Drosophila melanogaster: one gene and its partners. The gene in region 1 interacts genetically with each later gene. Each region holds a gene or a part of one and is shown on either strand. Other genes may lie near its edges.

Region 1 (7,493 bases):
TAAATATATTTCCTCTTAAAGTCAAATTGCATAAGAGATTAAAAAAATTTGATGTACAATTAATAAACAAACAATGGCGTAATAATTGTTTTTAGACGGTACCCTTTAGTTTTGCGTAGTGTAGTTTAGCTTTAATAGTGTTTAATTGCGTAGTCAAAGTCGAAGTAAAATAAATAAGAGCAGTGATTTAAAAATGGGAATACAAAAAACCGAATTTTTTCAAATGCACCAAAACCATTTGTTTAAACATATTGATAGGATCACAATAGAGATCTTGATAATAAATATTTAAATGCTTAACCATAAATCTCCAAAAAAAACTTCGTTATCCCATTCTTATCCTCGATATCTCATCCTGGCACCTTGGGCACTTCCTCTCTTGGGATCCCAGAGATCTACATGAAAATTTGATACGCATATGTCGCGGAAATCGATCGATCGAGGGTCCAGTTCCGGATACATTATTCGTTCGCCACGCAACTCCCTCGCCTGATTCCATTCATGTATTCATTCATCAGAGGCCTCGATTGCGCTTGGAACCTCCGTGCCCCATACTTACTCCTTACTCCCTACTGCCTACTCCTTACTCCCTGCTCCTTACTCCATTGTTTACTATCGTCGAAGATGCGTAGTAAAAGTAGCGGCGAGCAGCGCCAGTTAACCCAGTGTCTGCGATCTGAGAAGATCGTCGCAAATCGGAGGAGCGGACGAAGAAGGTTCGGACGAAAGAAAAAAGGAGAAGAAACATCTGTCGCCACGAAGAAATCCGGTTGCAAGCTGCAACACCACCGGCTCAAAATGAGCAACAACACAGAGAACATATGATTGAACTGCCCGAATGCCGCATAAAAATGGGTAAAAAACGAAAAATCGAAACGCACCTTTTGTGTTTTTGTTTTTTTTTTTTTTGTTTTTGGAGCAGCTGCCGTTGCTGTCGGTGCTTCGTCGCCGTTGCGGAGGATCGACGGGTTTGGGGGGAGCACCAGACTCTGCACTCGGCAGCCTGTTGATGAGCCCACAATGCGCACATGCTGCAAGCTATTCGTGCCGCGGATGATATGGGCTCTGTGTTGAGCCGGCGGGTCCTCCATAATGATAAGTGCCCGTCGAGGAGGCCGTCCACATTAAATTCGGCGTTTGTCGCTCAATGGCAGCTGCCACCGATTCCTTCGGCGGCTTAAGCAAATCCAAAGGACTGGACGCGAGGGACGAGCTTGAGTGTCGAAAGTTCAGATAGGTCAAGTTGTCAAAATATTCGGAGACAGTTGTCGGTGCTTTTCGATTCATTCATAAAATTTGCGAGGCTCTGATCGCTGAATGAATTTGGCAATTCGCCTTGCAAGGCAATAAAATTATAAAATAAGGTTTATCAGCAGGTTAAGAATCATTAACATTGTTATTCCTTATTTTTTATAAATATTTATTTGGCATAAAAGTATATCAGTCATCAGAATTTTATTCGTGGTTAAATTGTCAAACTTCTGCTGCATATTTCCACTGGCACTGCCTTTTGTTATCCGTTTCCTGTTTCAGAATTCGCACTAGTCATCCTAGCAGTCAACATCCCTTTTGGCGCCCTTAAATGTGAACATATGCCGCCTGTTTGTTTTGTTTCGGCTATGTCACCCTTATGGTTGCTTTTTCTCTCACTGCAATATTGGGTTATATGGTACATGTTTTCATTTTTCAAAAACACCAGGCTTAATCTGAGCCCAAAAAATTGCATTTGAGTATAAAAATTATACAAAAATAAATAAATATTTTTAAATTTTGTTTTATATTTGAAAATATATATATGATTTGAAAATATGATATATTTTGCATGACTTTTATTTCATTAGTGTCTAGCTTATCCTTTATCTCTTATTTTTCCCATCGATCCGACAACGCTCGCCACTCTCGCATGTCATTTGCCAGATGTGGCAGCCCGCAGGCACAAATTTTGAAAGTGGTGCCCAGAATGCGATGAGGACAAGCAAGGCTCATTCGAAATTTGTGCGTGCAACGCGAAGGACGTGCCGCTCCGTAGCTCGCTGTCCCGCTCTCGCTCTCCCCGCTCTCTCGCTCTGTCGCACGCGTTCGCCGCTTGGCATTTGTTGTTTGCCACATTTTCGCGGCACCCCAAAAAATCGTGAAAATACAAATACAATACGAGTGCGAAAGTCGAATATCGGCAGAAGTTAGTGCGACCTTTGGTGACGTCAGAGGCTGGGAAAAATCGCCAGGATGTCTACCAATCAGCAGCAGCAGGCGAATCCTTCGGCGGCCGTTGCCGCACCCGCCGCCTCCTCGGAATACCTGAAACGCACCTGCCTCATCTGCGGCTGCCACACCAACCAGACGATCAATATCTACGAGCCCCGCTCCGGACCCAATATCGTTCAGCTAATCCAGGCGAAATTCAAGTTTCAGGTATGGATTTTTCCCAACTTAGAGCAAAAAAAATAAAAACTCAGTTAGGCGGGGAACGTATAAAAATCGATATTGGGGCAACTCGGCGGATGAGTCATGCAACGAAGGAACGTCCTTCGGACAAAGTTTTCCCTCTGCGCGTGTATCCGTGTGTGTTTTTTTTTTTGGGTTAAAAGGGGATGAACTTCGCTGGGCGGAAAATGGGAAAATGGGTGGCACTTCTATAGGCAGGTACAGGTAACTCCCTCACAGCAGCCCACTGGGAAAAAAAGAGTGGCAAGCTATTTGATGATTGATTTCGAGCGCAGTTTTCTAATATTTTTAAGTGATTATTTGCAAAGAACTAAGGTCTCGGAATTAGTAGTTCTATCACAAACTACTTTCTTAATGAAAATTTCAAAATCCTTTATCCCTATTAGTTTTGTGGTATGCCCACCTTTTCCTGTGCCCTTTAAACTGCATATCCTGTCGCCGAGCAGATGATGCATTTCCCCGACAACCTTTGGTAATTGGACACTTTGCATATGTGCCAGTGCCACAGAGCCGCCACTTAGTTCGATTCCTTTCCCATAATTTTTAACAGCTTGTTCTAATATGCGAGCAGTGCGGTGTGTGTGTGTGTGGGAAATGCGACAGCGGAAGATGGCCAGGGAAATCGATCCTGGCTGAAGATCCTGGGCTTGTTTTTCTGTGGAAGTGAGTTTCGGGTCTCGGATTACAGGCACTCCTCCTCACTCAAATGACTACCCATGACTACCTGTACCGGCGGCGCACACATAAACCTGCTCGAAAGGGCAGATGTGCTGTGGATTTGCCGAGATTGCTCCAATTTCTGCGGGCAGTGAACGAACCCGGTGTGTTCGTTCTCTTCGTTTCCATATCCCAAAACGACAGCTGTATTTGCCGGTCGGCACTCAAAATCCAACCCATCGGGGTTTCTGGATCCTCTGCTGCTGCTGCTGCTGCTTCTTTATCAGCTCTTCATGGTCTCGAGTGAGTTTTTTCGCATATCAACTATTGAACTCGGATACCTGGATGCGAGTTCACAGTTTATTGTTTGTGAGACGAAGGGATTTTCCCCAGCAGCATTGGTGGTTGAACCCTTGGAGAATGCCAAATATCTTTGGATAGAAATTCCGGTTTCTTAAGCTGCGCAAATCCAAACAAAGGATCTACCCTTGGAATAGCGTTTACAAAGGTGATTTCAAATGCCCGAATTTTCAGCCGAAGTCCCAGAAGTGCCAAGCTAGACAAGATTTCCATTTAGAGGTCTTCGTTTAGTTTGGTATTTTTGGGAAATAGTTTTTACTAAGGTTTCCGTTCAATTGGATTACAAAGTCAGAATGAGAGTTCTTAAAACGAAGTCCTATAAAAACATAAACAATATTAAGTGGTTGCTAACATAGGTTGTTAAAATATTGGGTAGATATTGGTAGATTGTATTTCCACATATTTTCGGAATATATGTTTCGGTCTTAGATTAATTGAAGCATTGTGCTTAACTAGTATTGTGTGTATAGCAATCAATTTAATTACGAAATGCTCGAGACGCACGCAATGCGATTTCATAATAACAAAAACCCTCAGCTAACCCCGCAATATCAGACACTAGAAGCTCACCCTCTATGCACATAGAATATATATATATTCACCCCCTCCGGACGTCGTTAGAATTTCGTTTGAACCGTTTTTGCGAAACCCTATACGGTGGGCATACACCACCTGCCGTGATCGTAGCCTGGCAACCGATCTCCCCCACAGGAACAACACCCTCGCCGGGTTCTCTATAAGCTCGAGTTCTGAATGACAGTGCCATAAAGTCCAGTTGCAATTACCTTATCAGACTGCGCCCCCCCACCTCCCACTCTTATGCACTTAGAAAAAAGGAACATTACAAATTGAGTAAATATGCAGCTATATTAACAGAAGCACGAAGAGTTGTTTTCAAACTAATAGAAGTACTTTTAAACATATTTTTCATGTGCCCATATTTAACTGATCTTAGGAGTGCACACCTTTTTCTCGCAGTGCATCTGCGATCGGCGTGCGTGCGTGTGCGTGTGTGTGTGTGTGTTTGTGTGGCTTTCTGTCTGCTTTGCACCTGGCCTGCAATTTGCATTATTATACCGTTTACACATGGCCCTTGGAGCACACCTTTTCAGCGCCGAACCCAAAGGTAAACAGCCAGCCACAATCGCTCCTGATCCTTTCTACCCTGCACACCTCCTCCTCCTCTATCGCCATCCTGGTCGATCCTTTCGGTTCCCCGACCCTCGTACCGATCACCTTTATCTAATTTCTCGGCGCAGCTGTCGCGCATGCGCGTGCCTAATGGTCGTCATAGTTGGGGTTTTAACCCAGTTCCCGCTTCGGTTCCACTTCGGCATTATGTGTTTTTTTTTTTTATATATATGGATAGGGCGCGTGGCTCTTGGCCGAAAACGAGTTTCCTTCGAGGCTCGAACTAAGTAGCGAATGTCCCTTTGGCTTGTTACTGGTTACTGGTTTTCCGTACCTTTTGGGCCAGCTGCTACCGCTGGGCGCTTAGTTTTTGCTGGCAGGTGCACGAAATTATTGATACCCGAGGAATGCTGAGGTCTGGCTGGGTAATTAATATGCCCGGGTCGTCTGGCAGTTGTTTTTCGGAATTGTTATGGTCTTTTTTTTTTTTTTGCACCTCTGGCTGGATGCTCATTAGTGGTAGTGGTGGTGGTAGTGGTCGGGTGTCGCGAGCGATCACTAAGTGCATAGGCGTATCGTAATTTTCTAGAGGTTTATTCTGTGGGTTATGCCTGGCTTCAGATTGCGAGTCACGCAATCGGATTTGGGTCAATTTTCATTCTAAGGTTGGTTCCTGATGACCTTAACGGTTTCATGGCTATAATCAATAAATGATTGGCCTTCGTGGCTCTGCAAGTTACAATGTAACCGCCTTCGGTTCTTTCTAATGGCTTTTTATCCTTTACTTGGAATGCTACATATCAGTCTAAGGCAGTAAGCAATTTATAAAATGGGTTATTACTCAGCCATTAAATTAATTGAAGGACCAAATGAGTTTGAATAGTTATGATTAGTATATTATGATTAGCAATAACTTTATAGTCTAGATAAAACTACTTCTACTACCCGTACTCATCTATTCCCTATATATCTCTACTTTCAGCCCCTGAACGAGGACAAATTCCTCTGCTTTAGCTGCAACAACTGGCTGATCAACTGGCACTCCCTGCAGGCGGTCAACAGCAATGAGGCCGAAAGCCAGAGCCAAAGTCCCTCGCACATGGGCAACAGTGTGCTGCAGCAGGAAAGGACGAAGCTCCGTCCGGTGGCGATGGTTCGACCCACGGTGCGAGTGCAGCCCCAATCGCAGCCCCAACTGCAGCCCCAAGTTCCAATTAATCCCACACCCGCACCCATAGTCTATTCGAAGCGAAGAGCCAGCAGACGCAGTGCCTCCGTCAGCCGGATGAGCCGAGTGCTGCGCCAGTGTTGTGTGGAGAGTCTGCGGCGGAGTCCCAAGAAGCGCAATCAGCAGTCGGTGTTCGTCTGTCTTAGGCCGCAGGGCCAGAAGAGGAGCAATGCGATCTGCAAGGTGGAGTGTGTGGCGCCGCGCCGGAAACCAGTGGAGCGACTGGTTAAGGATGTGGCAGCTACAGCTACACCCACACCAGTGCTCAATACACAATCCACGCCCACTTACCAAAGATTCCCGCAGCCCAGTGTGGATGGCAAAGTAGTGGCCATGTTCCGTCGACTGGGAACCACACTCAGTCGGGAAGAACCCGCCGCATATTCAGCAGAATCAAACCCCGCCTGCTCGAAACTCCCGCAGATCATGAGTCCGCTCAAAGAGGCGCCGCGCTGGACGCGGGACCTCGATGATGATGAGATACTGCTGGAATTCGATACCGCCATATCCGAAGTCCTGCCAACTGCCCGCTATCAGGTTACCCACGAGGAGAACAAGGAAAACCAGCAGGCACAAGAAATGGAGCTGGAGCTGGAGGAGGAGGAAGAAGTGGATGGCCGAGCGGAACTGGAAGTGGTGCAGGAGGCGGAAGCGCCACTGGAACCGCAGAGCCACCACAAACAAGGAAACAGCCACCAAAATTCCCACCAAGCTTCAATCCAACTCGCTGGCCTGCGATTACCAATGGGCCTTAGCATTAGCCTCGTCTAAAAACGATGGGTCCAATTGATGCCCCGCACACAAAATAGTCAAATTGCATGCACAATACGCAAATTATGAGCATTAGCAAATGTCTAAGTTAATAGTACCTCGATTACATTTTAATTGTTAGTCAAATACCTTAATTAATTAGCGGACAAAAAAAAACACACACACACAAAACAAACAACAAAAGACCTAAGAATGTTAAGTTAACGGATGTGGAAAGCTATATTTAAAATATACATATTAGTCGTAGGCAAATCCCTGACTTACCCAAAAAAAAAAACAAAAAAGAGAATCCCCTCGAGCCAATGTAGTTGAATTTGTTTGTTTGCTCCAAAAGACAAAAGTATTTCAAAATAACATGCGAAATAAAAATAGCACAAAAGCAATCAGTATATAAATGAATGTTTTTATATTTAAATGTACGGGTGGTATGAATTTTCTATTTATTCCGAGGAATAAGGAGTGATCTTTATGAAAACCAAATTAATTTTACATTTCCCGCCAAATGTTACTCATCCAATTAAATTTTTACGTTGAAAAGTATGCACTTTTTCTCGTTACTAAATTGGGGCTGCCAACTTGTTTTCTTCACGGCGCCAAAAAGTATGCTCTAATTTTTCTGTCTTGTGGCGCCAAAATCAAAATGTAGAACTGCAGAAAATTTTCCTACAGAAAATATTTCTCTTCAATATTTAACATAAAATATGAAGTACGAGAAATTAAATTGTTAATTGTTAAATTAACTAAAATTACTATGTTTTACTTAAAAATTTTCTGCAATATATTTGCTAATAAGTTAACTAATAGAAAAGCTAAGAAAATTCATCACATTAGAAATCCATTTTAAGATATTCCAGAACCAACGAACGACATGCTCTTAAATACATACATATATCATTAGTTT
Region 2 (4,700 bases), 690 kb from region 1:
CATACCTCAACCGTAGGGTAACTGCAAACAGGTTAACCCTCGAAATGGAGCAGCCTGAGCACCCTACTTTGCCTTCATTGCCACTCAAGTGGAAGTGGCCGGCCAAGGAGATGATGATGATGGTGGTGATGGAAATGGAGATGATGATGATCGCGGATAAAGGAGCTGCCTGGTGACTGGAACCGGTTCGTGAGCAGCCGTCAGTGGACAACATGTGGGCCACCTCGAATCCCCCTGAGAGGTTCTTTCGGAGGCAGTGCTCACTGGGCCTGGGTGGACCCGTTAGTCCATCCTTGGCCCGGTGCAAGCTGTGATATAACCAACGATCCCCGTAATGAGCCTGACCAATTACAGCAGCACATGGCTTCCTACGGCCAGCAAAACCTGTTGCCCCTGAAGACGAAGCCCTTCTTCGGTTTTGCAGTTGGGAGAAAGTCTCCTCGCTGGAATAGGGCTTCCCATTTTGGGCGCCACTTGTGAAGAGGAAATCTGCCTGGCACTTCTCAAAGGGGTCGAAACTCTTGCACTTTGTCACGTCTCATTTAACTTGGGAACCCCGGGGGTGGTTGTGCGATCACTGGTTCCCACTGTATAGTTCGCTCCAACCCTTTATATACGTACACTATCTCACATCCAACATGCACAGAGAAAAAAGAGGGGACATTATTGGTACAAATTTGCATACTGTCTATGTAGGCATTTGTTATAATACGTTGCCTATATGTTGTTATATCCCGTTGATATAGGATTCAAACAATGAAAATGTAGTACTAGTTGTGACTTCCTATAGATCAAGTGAGTTCTAACATAATTTCAAAGAGCAAATCTTTAGATTTCCGTAAATGTTTTTCCTATGTGGAGACACCCCTTGACGAGTGGGCGTGGGACACGGCCACGCATGCGCAACTCCCTCCGAACTCCCAACTCGAATCCACTTTGTCTGAGTGGGTGGGTAGTGTGTGTGTGTGTGTGTGCGTTTTCGAGACTGGGTTTGTTTTGAGCATTGGGTTGGGTACAGTCTCCGCTTGGCTTGCCTTGCGGTCGGGTGAGTCACTGGGTCTTGGCCCCTGGGTGATTTTTTCAATCATCATCATCAGCGTGGGGAGTGTGAATGAAATGAAGTCAACAGGAAATAGTCAGTTTGCGGCTAAGAATAAAATCAAATGATCGCTACGCTTTTTTCATGTTATGTAGTGACTACCAAAGAATCAAGTTCAAAAAGTACATAAGGTTCTTTTGGAAATAAAAGAAAGTGATCGCTAATATAATGATTTCCAATTTTAGTCAAAGTTTTCAACAATGCTGTCATGTATTGTTGGGTTAACGAACTCACTTAGTTGTTATTGCTTAACGAACTTGCTTAACTTTGTCTTATAGTCTGCTTCCGTTTTCCACCCCTTTACTTTCCAATCTAAAGGAATATGCGTTGCATTCTAGGCATTTTCCAGTGCTTGGCTTCGTTTAACTCGAGCTTAAAATCAATTTTTGTCGACGAGTAAAAAGCAATTAAGCTGTCAGTCTATGTAAGCAGCTTCAAAAACACAACTAATTTCTATATATAATCCATGGAGACGCCATGAAACGAAATTCCGTTGCCGGTATCCCCCTACCCCGTACATAGTATTTATTTATATAGGCATAATCCCGGGCAAGTGCAATTCGACTGCATACAAATTGCATTTTCCATATAATATATAAATGTATAAAATATGTGCGTGGGAATATAATCTTATATATATAAATATATATATAAAGCACTCGAATGCAGTTATTTGCATTCTGCAGCAGACATTGCCACCCACAAATTTTCACCATATTGCCCATGGCAACAAAAAACCACACATTTTTAGTTTTCATTTGAAAACACCATGCCACAAACGGAATTCGTCAAAGGCAAAATAATCAAATACAAATTATATAACTCCTACATACATATGCATACATATGTAGTCGCATATGTTGCATAAAAACCGAAACCCCAAAAAATCATATGCAAAACCCCCCATCGAATCGAAATGAAAATGCATCTCTCTCTTTGGAGAGAGCGCAAGCCTGTGCCGTTATTTTCTATTTTCCCAGAGAGCGCGAGAGTGAACGAACGGAAGTTGAACTCTCGAAAGTGCAACACAATTCCTTTGCACTTTTTTGATAAGGGGTGTGGGTCGCTTTTTGGGGTGGTGGGTAGGTGGGTGGGGTGGTTGAATATAACAAAAATTGTTATAGACACAAAATTTATGATGTGCTCCGGCTGTGAAAAACAACCACCCACCCAGGAGCGAGAAACTAAGGGGGTTACGATAGGTGGGTGCGGGGGGATGGGGGCGGCAGTTAGTTTTCAAATGCCAAAACAGTTGAGCTATTGTCGCGAGAGCGGGATAGTAATACCCTTCAAAGCCATAACGAGAGCGAGAAAGAGGGTGGGTTGTGCATTGTTTGGGGGTTGCTATACCGTTGCATAGAGCGCCTGCTCCAATCCACACACCAATACCATTTGTTTTTATTCCACTGTGTGCGTGTGTGTGTTTGTGTGAAGTATTGATGAAGGAAAAATAGAAGTTGGCGCTTTTTAGTTGGGGGTTGCTGCCCCCAGTGGGATGTTTCTCTGGAAAAAGTGCATACCGAAAAAGATACGCACACACACACACAAACGCATTGCGGAAAAATCAATAAATCACTTGGCTTGGAAAATAGATATGGAAAGGCCCCCCCTCCCAGGAAAATCAATTAATAGATACTCCATGCTACTCTGATCCGATTTGTTTTAAAATATTTTATTCACCAACTTACCAACATGTTAGCGGAGGTTTTGCAGCCAGCCCCGGAGTATGCAACACTTTTTCGCCTCTTTTCGCGCGGCACACTGTTTAGTAGGTTTGTGTTTCTCCTTTGCAGCTGGAAATTAATTTACTTCACTGATTTGTTAAATGATTTCCTTGATGCACTTTTCGGTTTTCCGACTTAACGAGAACGGACCGCGTTTCACAACTAACCTCATCAACACTCACACACCGAATGAGATTTCGTGACTGAATGAATATGAATGGTCGCGGAGGAGCGGATCCTACGGCGATTCTCCGCCACCCACTCTTTTGGGGTGGCTGATGGGTTGGGCGGAAAATTTCCCGTCCCTCCCCCTATTGGGCCAAGTAAATATGTTGTAATATTTAGTTTTGTTTTTGCGTCTGCGATGCGTTGCTTAGTTTGCTGTTGTTGCCGCGCCGATTGCCTGTCGCGTAATAATAATACCTCTCCGACGTTGTGCAATTGTGGGAAAAGCTTCCTGTCTGCGCCGCCCTGCTTCTTCTTCTGACACCCCTCCGCTTTTCCGCTTTCCACAATTGCAAAAAGCGCGCGCATTCCGCAACGCTCACGCTCCCACGCATAACAAGTGGACTCTCCGGCAAAACTTTGTCACTAAGCTAAAAAAACGATTCTAATATATAAATAGACTTATTAATTGACTTAAATTAAGAAAGAGTATATTAAAATAAAAAAATAATTTATTTTTTATTTGTCAGTATCGGGGTATTATCGATAGTCGCGCCGAAAACATCCGAAAACATCGAATTAATTGTATTCAGCGCGGAAAAAAGGCCACAGCAAAAAATCTCTTAAGTTATTTATTTTTTTTAATTATCTGTAAGTATAATAATAGTTGAATTTATTATTTGACTAATTAAACAACAACATATGATTTTTAAAGACCAATTTTCTTATTTGTTAAGCTTTCATTTGTTAAGCTTAAAAGAATTTCCATTACATAGAATGCTATTGAAATTGAATTTCATTTGCAATCCTCCTTAAAAATTACATTTCCGGTTCCATTTTACAATAATTTTACATTACATCATACACGATTACTACCTTCTAATATTAGCTGTGTCACTAACCCATTGCGAACTATTTTGGAGCTGCTTTCCGAATTGCTACACTTGTAGAGTTTAAGTTACCACCTAGAATTCTACATACGGTTATTTGATTAATTTTATTTGATCAATAAACATATTCACTGGATTATAGCCATGTACAATGCTTAGTCATGCCAACTCTGTCAATTTGTAAAATGTTTTTAAAATGCTCACTCGTATTTATAATTTTTTGCCAAAAAGCTGCCAAACAAAAACTGTTTTAATCCTCGATATATAAAATATTATAATCTTGGTTTATTAGTACAATGTACTACTTATTTTAAGAAGGCCAGCAGCTTTGCATAATACATTAATAATAAAATACTAATTAAATAGTACTGACATGATACATTGAAAGAGAACATTGCAGACAAAAAATAGGATTTATTCATCTGTAGGATGACCCACTCCACTTTAAAGGCCAAGAAAAAACATAAAAGGGAATTTCATTAAAACAGATTAGCGTAAGGTGCGCAATCTTTAATTAATTTTCGCGGATTTTATGTTTTTGCCCTAGCCGCAAAACCATTCAGTCGAGTGGCAAAACGATTGCAGGTAAAAAATGGCTACCACTTAGCCATGACGACGTTCATTTTTAGATTTTCGTCATTTTTTCGTCCACTTTTTCCGTCACTTGAGGACAGCAGTTTTTTTTAGCGGCACCCAAGTTTTAATCAAATTGCACATGTGACCACATAGTCAGCCATATAACCCATAGCCCACACCACAGACCCCAAAACTCCTTTGCTAACCTAATTTTACAGTTGCCTCTTCAGCTGCACTCACACACGC
Region 3 (7,355 bases), on another chromosome or scaffold:
CTGCACAGAGACCTGAAACTCGCAACGGTATTTGACGAGATAAACCAGCACTCGAGCAGGTACCATGACAGGCTGGAGCGCCACAGAAATCGGCTGGCCAGCGCTCTTAACAGATCTCGCCCACCAAGGAGGCTCAACAGAAGGCAACCGAGGGATCTCATTTCCCGATCTCCTTTGACAAGGGTCAGCAGAAGCTGACGCTTATCAAAAAACCTATTTATTATATGTGTTTGTTATGTACTGTATTATAACTGTATAAACTAGAAAAAGCTAACTATAGTTAGCCGGCGCGCCCAAATGGGCAGAAATAATAGAAAAGAAGGACACAAAGGGGCTCCAAGATTTCCCCGTATGCCTTAAAAAATAAATTTAATTATAAGAAAAAAAAATGCACTGAATCTGTCAGCCTAAAAGTATGCTTCATTTTCGCCCAAACTACATTTTCTATATGTATAAAAAAAATACATATTATATACATAAATATAAGACTAAAAAGGCCCCACCGACAGGACCTATTATTTAGAACGCTGTTGTAACAACTATCTTGATTGTTAATATAGGAACATGACAAATATTTACCCTTGTAAATATGTAAAAATTCGTTAACGTTGAATCAATACAATAGTATTATTAATTTCCCTCCTCAAATATATAATTGTTTAAGATGCCTGAAGGTAGCAGTACAATAATTTAACTACGTGTATCCAAACTTAAAATAATATGTAAAATACATAAATTGGTAAATAACAAGAAAAAAATGTTGCCGATCAAATGCGCTCGTAAATTTTAAAATACCTGATGAGATGTAATTCGGGCAATTTGTACACATTCGTTGCACACCATTTTGCATTGATGTCTATCTGCCAACGATAATAAAAAATACATTAAAAATGTACGTTAAGCAAGCTTTCACACAACGGAAAGGTGTTTAGGTAAGAATTGGGTACCAGGGCGCACATATCCTTGATTTTTTTCATCTAAGGATAAGAAGAAATGATATAATCTGGCCCGTCCCGACTTATAAACTACCTAAGACTTTTGAAAAACTTTCGTGCAGATCTGTATGCAGCTTTAAACTGAGGGACTGACGACGGACGGCGATGAACACTGAGTTTGATACTGATCAAGAATATATGTATGTATATACTTTAATGTCTCCCACACTGCGCATCAAGGTTTTTACTGGAATCAATATACTCTCTGCAAGGGTATATTCCTATACACTTAAATGACTTAAATGTACAATTGTATGTACATATTTATGTTAATGTAAATAGTCGTGTGGCTGCTTCATGAAATAAATGCGATAGTTCGGAGTATTTTCCAAACCTTTTGCATACCTTTTGGCGAACGGATGCATTTAAGCCCAAGGAATATTCATATTCGTACATATGTATGTCTATAGGAAAGCAATTTGTATAAATGTGCTAAAAGCATTGCACAGCCATATTAACGTATTTATTAATGTTGATTTTAGAGTAAAAGTTACCCCAAGATATTGATTCTTATGTATAGATTTAAAATAACAAATCATCACCCATATTTCTGACTGTTGTTATTTAAGATATGTGTAAATATGTACACACATATATAAATGCATATATAAACATGACTAGGAACTCGCCTAAAAATCCAAATTCTGCACACTTTAGGCTTGAAGAAAATTCAAAAAGTTTGCCTACTTATTTGTTTTACGTCAAAATGAAGAGACTGTGTTTTCCAAGTCCAGTACGTCCACATCGCACTTATTGCTAATACGAAAGCTTGATTTTAAATTTTTTCTTATGCCCACATTTTGGCGTAAATGCACGAATACATAGACATAGTGAATCACAAAATCTCAGGAAAATAGCTAAAATGGCAAAAGAAAGATCAGAAGCATAAGCTCTAAGGCACGCAAACAGAGAACAACCAACACTATCAAAATGAATGACAACTAGTTTTAGTTCAAGGAGAGCGCTTCATGCGAGGAATCAACGTAAATAAAGGCACCAACAGTTGATAAGTGAGCGAGTCGTCTTTTACTTTACGAGCGGCAAATTAATACATAATATGTATGCACGTATGTATTTTAATAAGGGAAGTAATAGCTTTTGAATATGCAATCGCCTTCAACGGTATTTAGATACACCTTAAATACCCGGTCGCAAGAAAAAACTGGTGGAAAGAAAAACCAGCCGACTACATTTACGCCATTGAGGCCACATGGATAGAGCGGAAAACTGGCTGTGCGCCATGAAACAGACGGACACCAAGCCCGCACACATATACACCAGCGCTCGAAAAATAGAAACAAAAGTCGTGTAAGTGTTTAATACAAGCAACAGTCAGGGAGCACGCACACCATCACCGGCGGTGCAAACAACGTAGGAGAGGCGAGAGCAAAGAAAGAGTACTGTAAGCCATCAGCGCGAAACTGTGTGTGTACGGAAATGCATTAGTATGTGTGAGTGGTGAGTGTAATGGCAAACGGCAGCAACATTTATTTCGCTCAGTTTTATTTCGTTTTTTCGTCGCAACGCAAGTGCTGGTGAAATCGTTGTGGCAGAAGTCTATTTTAAGTGAATAAATCTTTTATTGTGCTCATGTTCGTAATTCCAAAACGTTCGTCGAGACTAAAAGACTTCTGCAAAGCTTTCGAGAAAAGAATAAATGGAAAAATACTATTTTCCACAAAAACATAGCATAGCAATTGTGAACAGCGTAAAACGAGGAAAGCAAAGATCTGCTTCTGTTTCTCACTCTCTCGGACTTGCGCTCTCCGCTTTCAATGATCAATACATTTACAGTTTGTTATTATTTGTTTTTCATTTTGCCTTTTGTTTTGCACGCTCTCAGTAACCGCGCGACGACTTTCTCAAATTGCAAGTGTAAAAAATTCATGAAAACGAAGTAGTGGGCAAGGCGAACTGCATTGCAAATGGTAGTGTGTGTGTCTAAATTTGGTGTTAACAAGAGTAAGCCTATTACACCGAACCCCTGGGATTTTTAAAAAATTTTTCTGCATTTTGTCATCAGCATGTTGGGCTTGACGCTTTGAGATAGGAAATAAAAGGCGCATTCAAATTCGTAACATGGATGCTCAGTTTGAGCACTTGTGCCGCATTTGCGCTGCCAACACGAAAAGCAAGACGAATTCCGTGGTTGAAAGTGTGTTTATTTTTAAAACACAGGGACTGAAGGATAAAATATCTCGACACCTTTATCTAAATGTAAGTAAATAAAAAGGAACAGCCTGTTTGGCGCTGCATCAAATTTAATCCTAGATCTGAATAAGTATCAAAACAAGACCTCCGCGTACTTGCTAAGACTCGACATTTAAAAAACGTATTTCTTTTTAGGTAGCTGAAGAAGATCCTCTGCCAAAAGTGCTCTGCAAATCTTGTTACCGCCAAGTAGAGGCCACGGCGTCGCTTTCAAATATAGCAAAACATACTCAGCTCGTGTTTCGGGACTTTCTCCTTAGTACACTGGTAATCGATTATATACCACTTATATATAATCAGCAAGCTTACAACTTATTAAATCTTCCAGCCTAAGAATGCGAGGGAAGCGGCTGCTGCACAACTGAGCGTTCCAGCAACCCAAATCCCACACCGACACGACGAAGTCCAAGCGGAAATCGATGAATTTCGCCCCATTTTGCTGACCCACGTGCCGGAGTCCGGAAACACCGCTTCCAAGCCCCAACCAGCCAATTGCCTGGAGCTGGCCCCAAAAACCGGCGAAAACTACTTGGCTGCATCTTCCTCATCCTCTTCTCTGAGCAAACCCGCTGGATCAGTAAAGAGCTATCTTAACACTGGGAGACGCAACAGCGTTTTTACAGACACTAGGTATGGATCGGCCCCACTGTCTATCGCTCAACGAACTATGCAGTGTCTGCCTTCTTTGGTGCCCCTAAACACAGAGTCATTGGGTAGCAACGCAATGAGAAAGAGCCCAGACACAAAACTATCGCCGAAAGGAGTAATAAACTTCATCCAGACTCATGGGCGCATCACGGGCAATATACCTGAAGTCCAAGCAGAGGACAATACCGGAAACATCAACGTGACAGATAGCAGAAACACAGTTACAGCTTCCGTTCTTATTTCTTCAAACGTTAGCAATCCAGGAACGAAATCTCAGGACAGTAATTTGTTTCTGCAGAAAAGTAGAAATCTTAAAAACACATTAAACAACATTAAAGCCATGCGTACCGGACAGGTATCACTGCTTAAGGGTGCGCAAAATCGAAACCCTATTGAAGATGTTAGACCACTGGTCACAACTACACTGGTACCCCAATATGGTGGTGAACCTTCCGTGGAGGAAGCACTGCCAGAGCACATGATCTTTGCGGCGCCAAAAAAGAAAAGGGAGGATGAAGAACAATTTCTTCAAACGGCTCTGCCACAGCTAAAGAAAACTGTGCCAAGTCAATCTAAGACAAAGTCCACAAAACTCGATTTAACTATATCGGTTGATTCGCATGTTTCACCCCCGTCAACGTCAATTTCTAATGTTAAAAGCCTCACTGATGCAATATTCCTGGGAAGCGTTATTAGGGATCCAGACTTGTTGATGCTTATTCTCAAGGCTCTAAAATGGCCGGTGACAGCAGAAAACTGTGATGAGCAAATGTCCCGCTTAAAAAGTTCAAAGTTCGCTGTTATAATGTCAGACACAAACCTTCTTCAAGACACAGATCTCACACAACTTTTAGGTCCATATTTGGCCCCAATGCTGCCTGTGGTTCAGCAACAAGATCAGCATCCACTTTCCTCAGCTATCGGGTCTGCTTCTTCAAACCATTCATCGCAGGCGACTAAAGATGTACTTAAGCTGGCTGACTTATCTAGTGCAATGCCTTATAAACTTCCACCAGAAACGTCGGTTCAATTAGTGCCTTCCAGTCCCACGGAACAGGAACCGCAGCCTGTGCGTCACAAAAAGGCGGTTAGCGTGCCAACTGTCAAACGCCATCAACGAAAGATGCGTGCCCTTGATTTACCTGCTGTTGACAAGACGCGCCGCATAATTTCGTTATCGACTTCAAAGGCAGCTTATGTCAGCAACGAACTGTCGAATATCAATTCTGTGCTTTTTTCGCAGTTCGAATCAAATCCGGCCGACGCTATTAATGAAGCGCTTATCTCACTCCTTAAGCAGCAACAACAAGAAACAAAAGACCAGCGAAAAACTCGTCAGAGTTGTATTGGCTCTGACAGTGCAGTTAATTTAGAAGACATTGTACTGATCGATCCCCAACCGCCTCTTGCAGTCGATCCGCATAATGTGAAGTACCTTGAGGATGACTACGTCTCTCCGCAGTCCCAGCCCGGATCCCAATACAATTTTAAAAGGCGCAAAACAGACATTCGGTCATCAGAGCCGTCTGAAGTCGTTGTGCTCGATAACAGCGGATCCCCAAATGAAAAGAATTCAAAAGAAGTATTTCCAAGTACGAAACAGACTTTATCCAGAGAAACAAAGAAAAGTGCGGTAACTGTTAGAAAAGAATCTTTGGGTCAGCTAAAGCAGGCACCCACAAGTACCGTCCCGGAAGACATTTGCGATCCTAAAGCCAGAGCCATTAATGCGAAAGAAAATCCCGAAGTGTGTGAACCAGTCCCGGACAATGGAGGTAGTGACGATATTGATGATAGCAAAGCAGGCTCGGTATCCGTTCGGAAGTCGGAAGTCAAAGCTGCGCTTGGACAAAAGCTTTTGGAGGCTATTGGACTTTCTCAGTTGGGAGCCGATGCAGCGCCTGAAAACTCCCGCGACACTCTTAGAAGTGCGTTAAAGCGCTCTATAAAACAGGCCCAGGAGCAACAGCTTCAGCTGAAGCGAGGCAATCATGAAGAACCTGTGAAGCAACTTGCCGATTCCACAACCAAGCTAAGTGCAGCAGAATCGGCAGATGAGCATAAAAAAGCAATTGCCGAGCGGGAGCTGGCCCTGCTGAATCGTGGATTTAAAGCAGGAGAAGAAAACACGATTTCCCTAAAAGAGTGAGTTGTAGATTTATTGATACGGACTTTATTTAAAATGTTTACCGTATTTTTTAGTGATAAGTGGGAGCGAACTGATGTTAGTTCTTCATCATCAAGAAACCGCCGAGGACGTAAATCAAAGATTGATTCCAACGTCGAGGATTTTGGCGATGAAGAAAAAAAAGACTCTAGATGGGATGAAGACGATGACTTGCCGTTAAAGGCAGATACGGAAAAACCTTCAGAACGGAACAGCACCAACGCCCGACCGACCCGTACTAGCAAAACGTTATCAAAGTATTATAAAGGACCAACTTCTAAATCACATCATAGCATGGGTACGCGCTCGACACGACAGCGCTGAGATATGCTTTATATCCTTCATATAAAATATGTGGTTTTATTTTGGAAAATATTAAATACCTATTTTACGTCCCTCTAAGATGCACATGTAATTGTGTACAATGTATACTCCCATTTAAAAACTAGTATAGTTGTATTAACTTTATTAAAAGCAATGGCTGGAGTCTACACACGAAAATAAGTCAAGAATAGTACAACTATTTAAAGAATAACACGATTTGGTTGAAAAAATTTCCTTACGTATGTAAATCGATTAATTATTCAGCGCTTAAGTTTTCTTTTGGGTTAAGTTTTGAACATATAATGTACCTTCTGGTGTATGTTAACATAAAATCCAGAATATGCCTTTAGACAGCAGAACGGAAGATATTTATTTGGTTTACAGTCTTGAATCTAAGCTGTATTTTTGTAGTTTTAATTAAACTTTTGTTTTTAATAATAACGGTACCGAAAAATAATTTTAAATAATGTAAATAAATAATGATGCTGAAAATTTAACAATTGCAACGTCTTTTCTAAACATCATCTTAATTGATAGTTCACAAACTTATTTAAGTTCAAAAGCAGAAAGAATGTAAGCTTCGACAGGTCATTTCGATCATTAATAACAATTTGATATACACCACTTTTGTATATGTTTCGGTAATGATAAAATCGGTTGTGATATATCTGCTTTAGAAACAGCAGGAAAATGAATGAAAACAGCTAATAGGCAATTGCCTTAAAAACTTGCACATACGAATGTAAATATGTATGTACATATGTACATCAATCTCTTTTTACAAAGCACACAGCGCGAGGTCTAATGGCTGATTCAGACAATGATAATGTGCAAAACAAAATATCAGTTTGAAAAGCTTCGCGACGTGTGGCGGTTGTTGAAATCGAGCAAGTCAAAATATGTACACATGTAGGTTTATGTGAACGCCCCAGTGATTCTAAGAATGAAGAACATATACTTGTTCAATAAAATATTGTTTTTATTTAATTATTAGCATCAAACTTTTAACG

Evidence for each region.
Region 2: of phyl (region 1) and chn, changing one enhances a phenotype caused by changing the other (phenotypic enhancement), as found in Drosophila melanogaster (one study listed by BioGRID).
Region 3: of phyl (region 1) and dbr, changing one suppresses a phenotype caused by changing the other (phenotypic suppression), as found in Drosophila melanogaster (one study listed by BioGRID).

The regions. Positions count from the first base shown.
Region 1 is NT_033778.4:14,426,827-14,434,319, reverse strand, and holds phyl (phyllopod), read left to right. Parts: upstream 1-1,982; 5' UTR 1,983-2,226; coding exon 2,227-2,412; intron 2,413-5,575; coding exon 5,576-6,592; 3' UTR 6,593-6,984; downstream 6,985-7,493. UniProt on the Drosophila melanogaster protein: Essential adapter component of E3 ubiquitin ligase complexes; involved in R7 photoreceptor cell differentiation, embryonic nervous system, external sensory organ development and specification of particular muscles.
Region 2 is NT_033778.4:15,113,776-15,118,475, reverse strand, and holds the start of chn (charlatan), read right to left. Parts: upstream 3,016-4,700; 5' UTR 2,788-3,015; intron 1-2,787. UniProt on the Drosophila melanogaster protein: Probable transcription factor involved in the development of the adult pattern of macrochaetae. Required for accumulation of achaete (ac) and scute (sc) in proneural clusters.
Region 3 is NT_033779.5:64,551-71,905, forward strand, and holds dbr (debra), read left to right. Parts: upstream 1-1,931; 5' UTR 1,932-2,062; intron 2,063-2,125; 5' UTR 2,126-2,453; intron 2,454-2,492; exon of another isoform or gene 2,493-2,838; 5' UTR 2,839-2,957; intron 2,958-3,018; 5' UTR 3,019-3,074; coding exon 3,075-3,212; intron 3,213-3,341; coding exon 3,342-3,473; intron 3,474-3,534; coding exon 3,535-5,999; intron 6,000-6,056; coding exon 6,057-6,345; 3' UTR 6,346-6,840; downstream 6,841-7,355.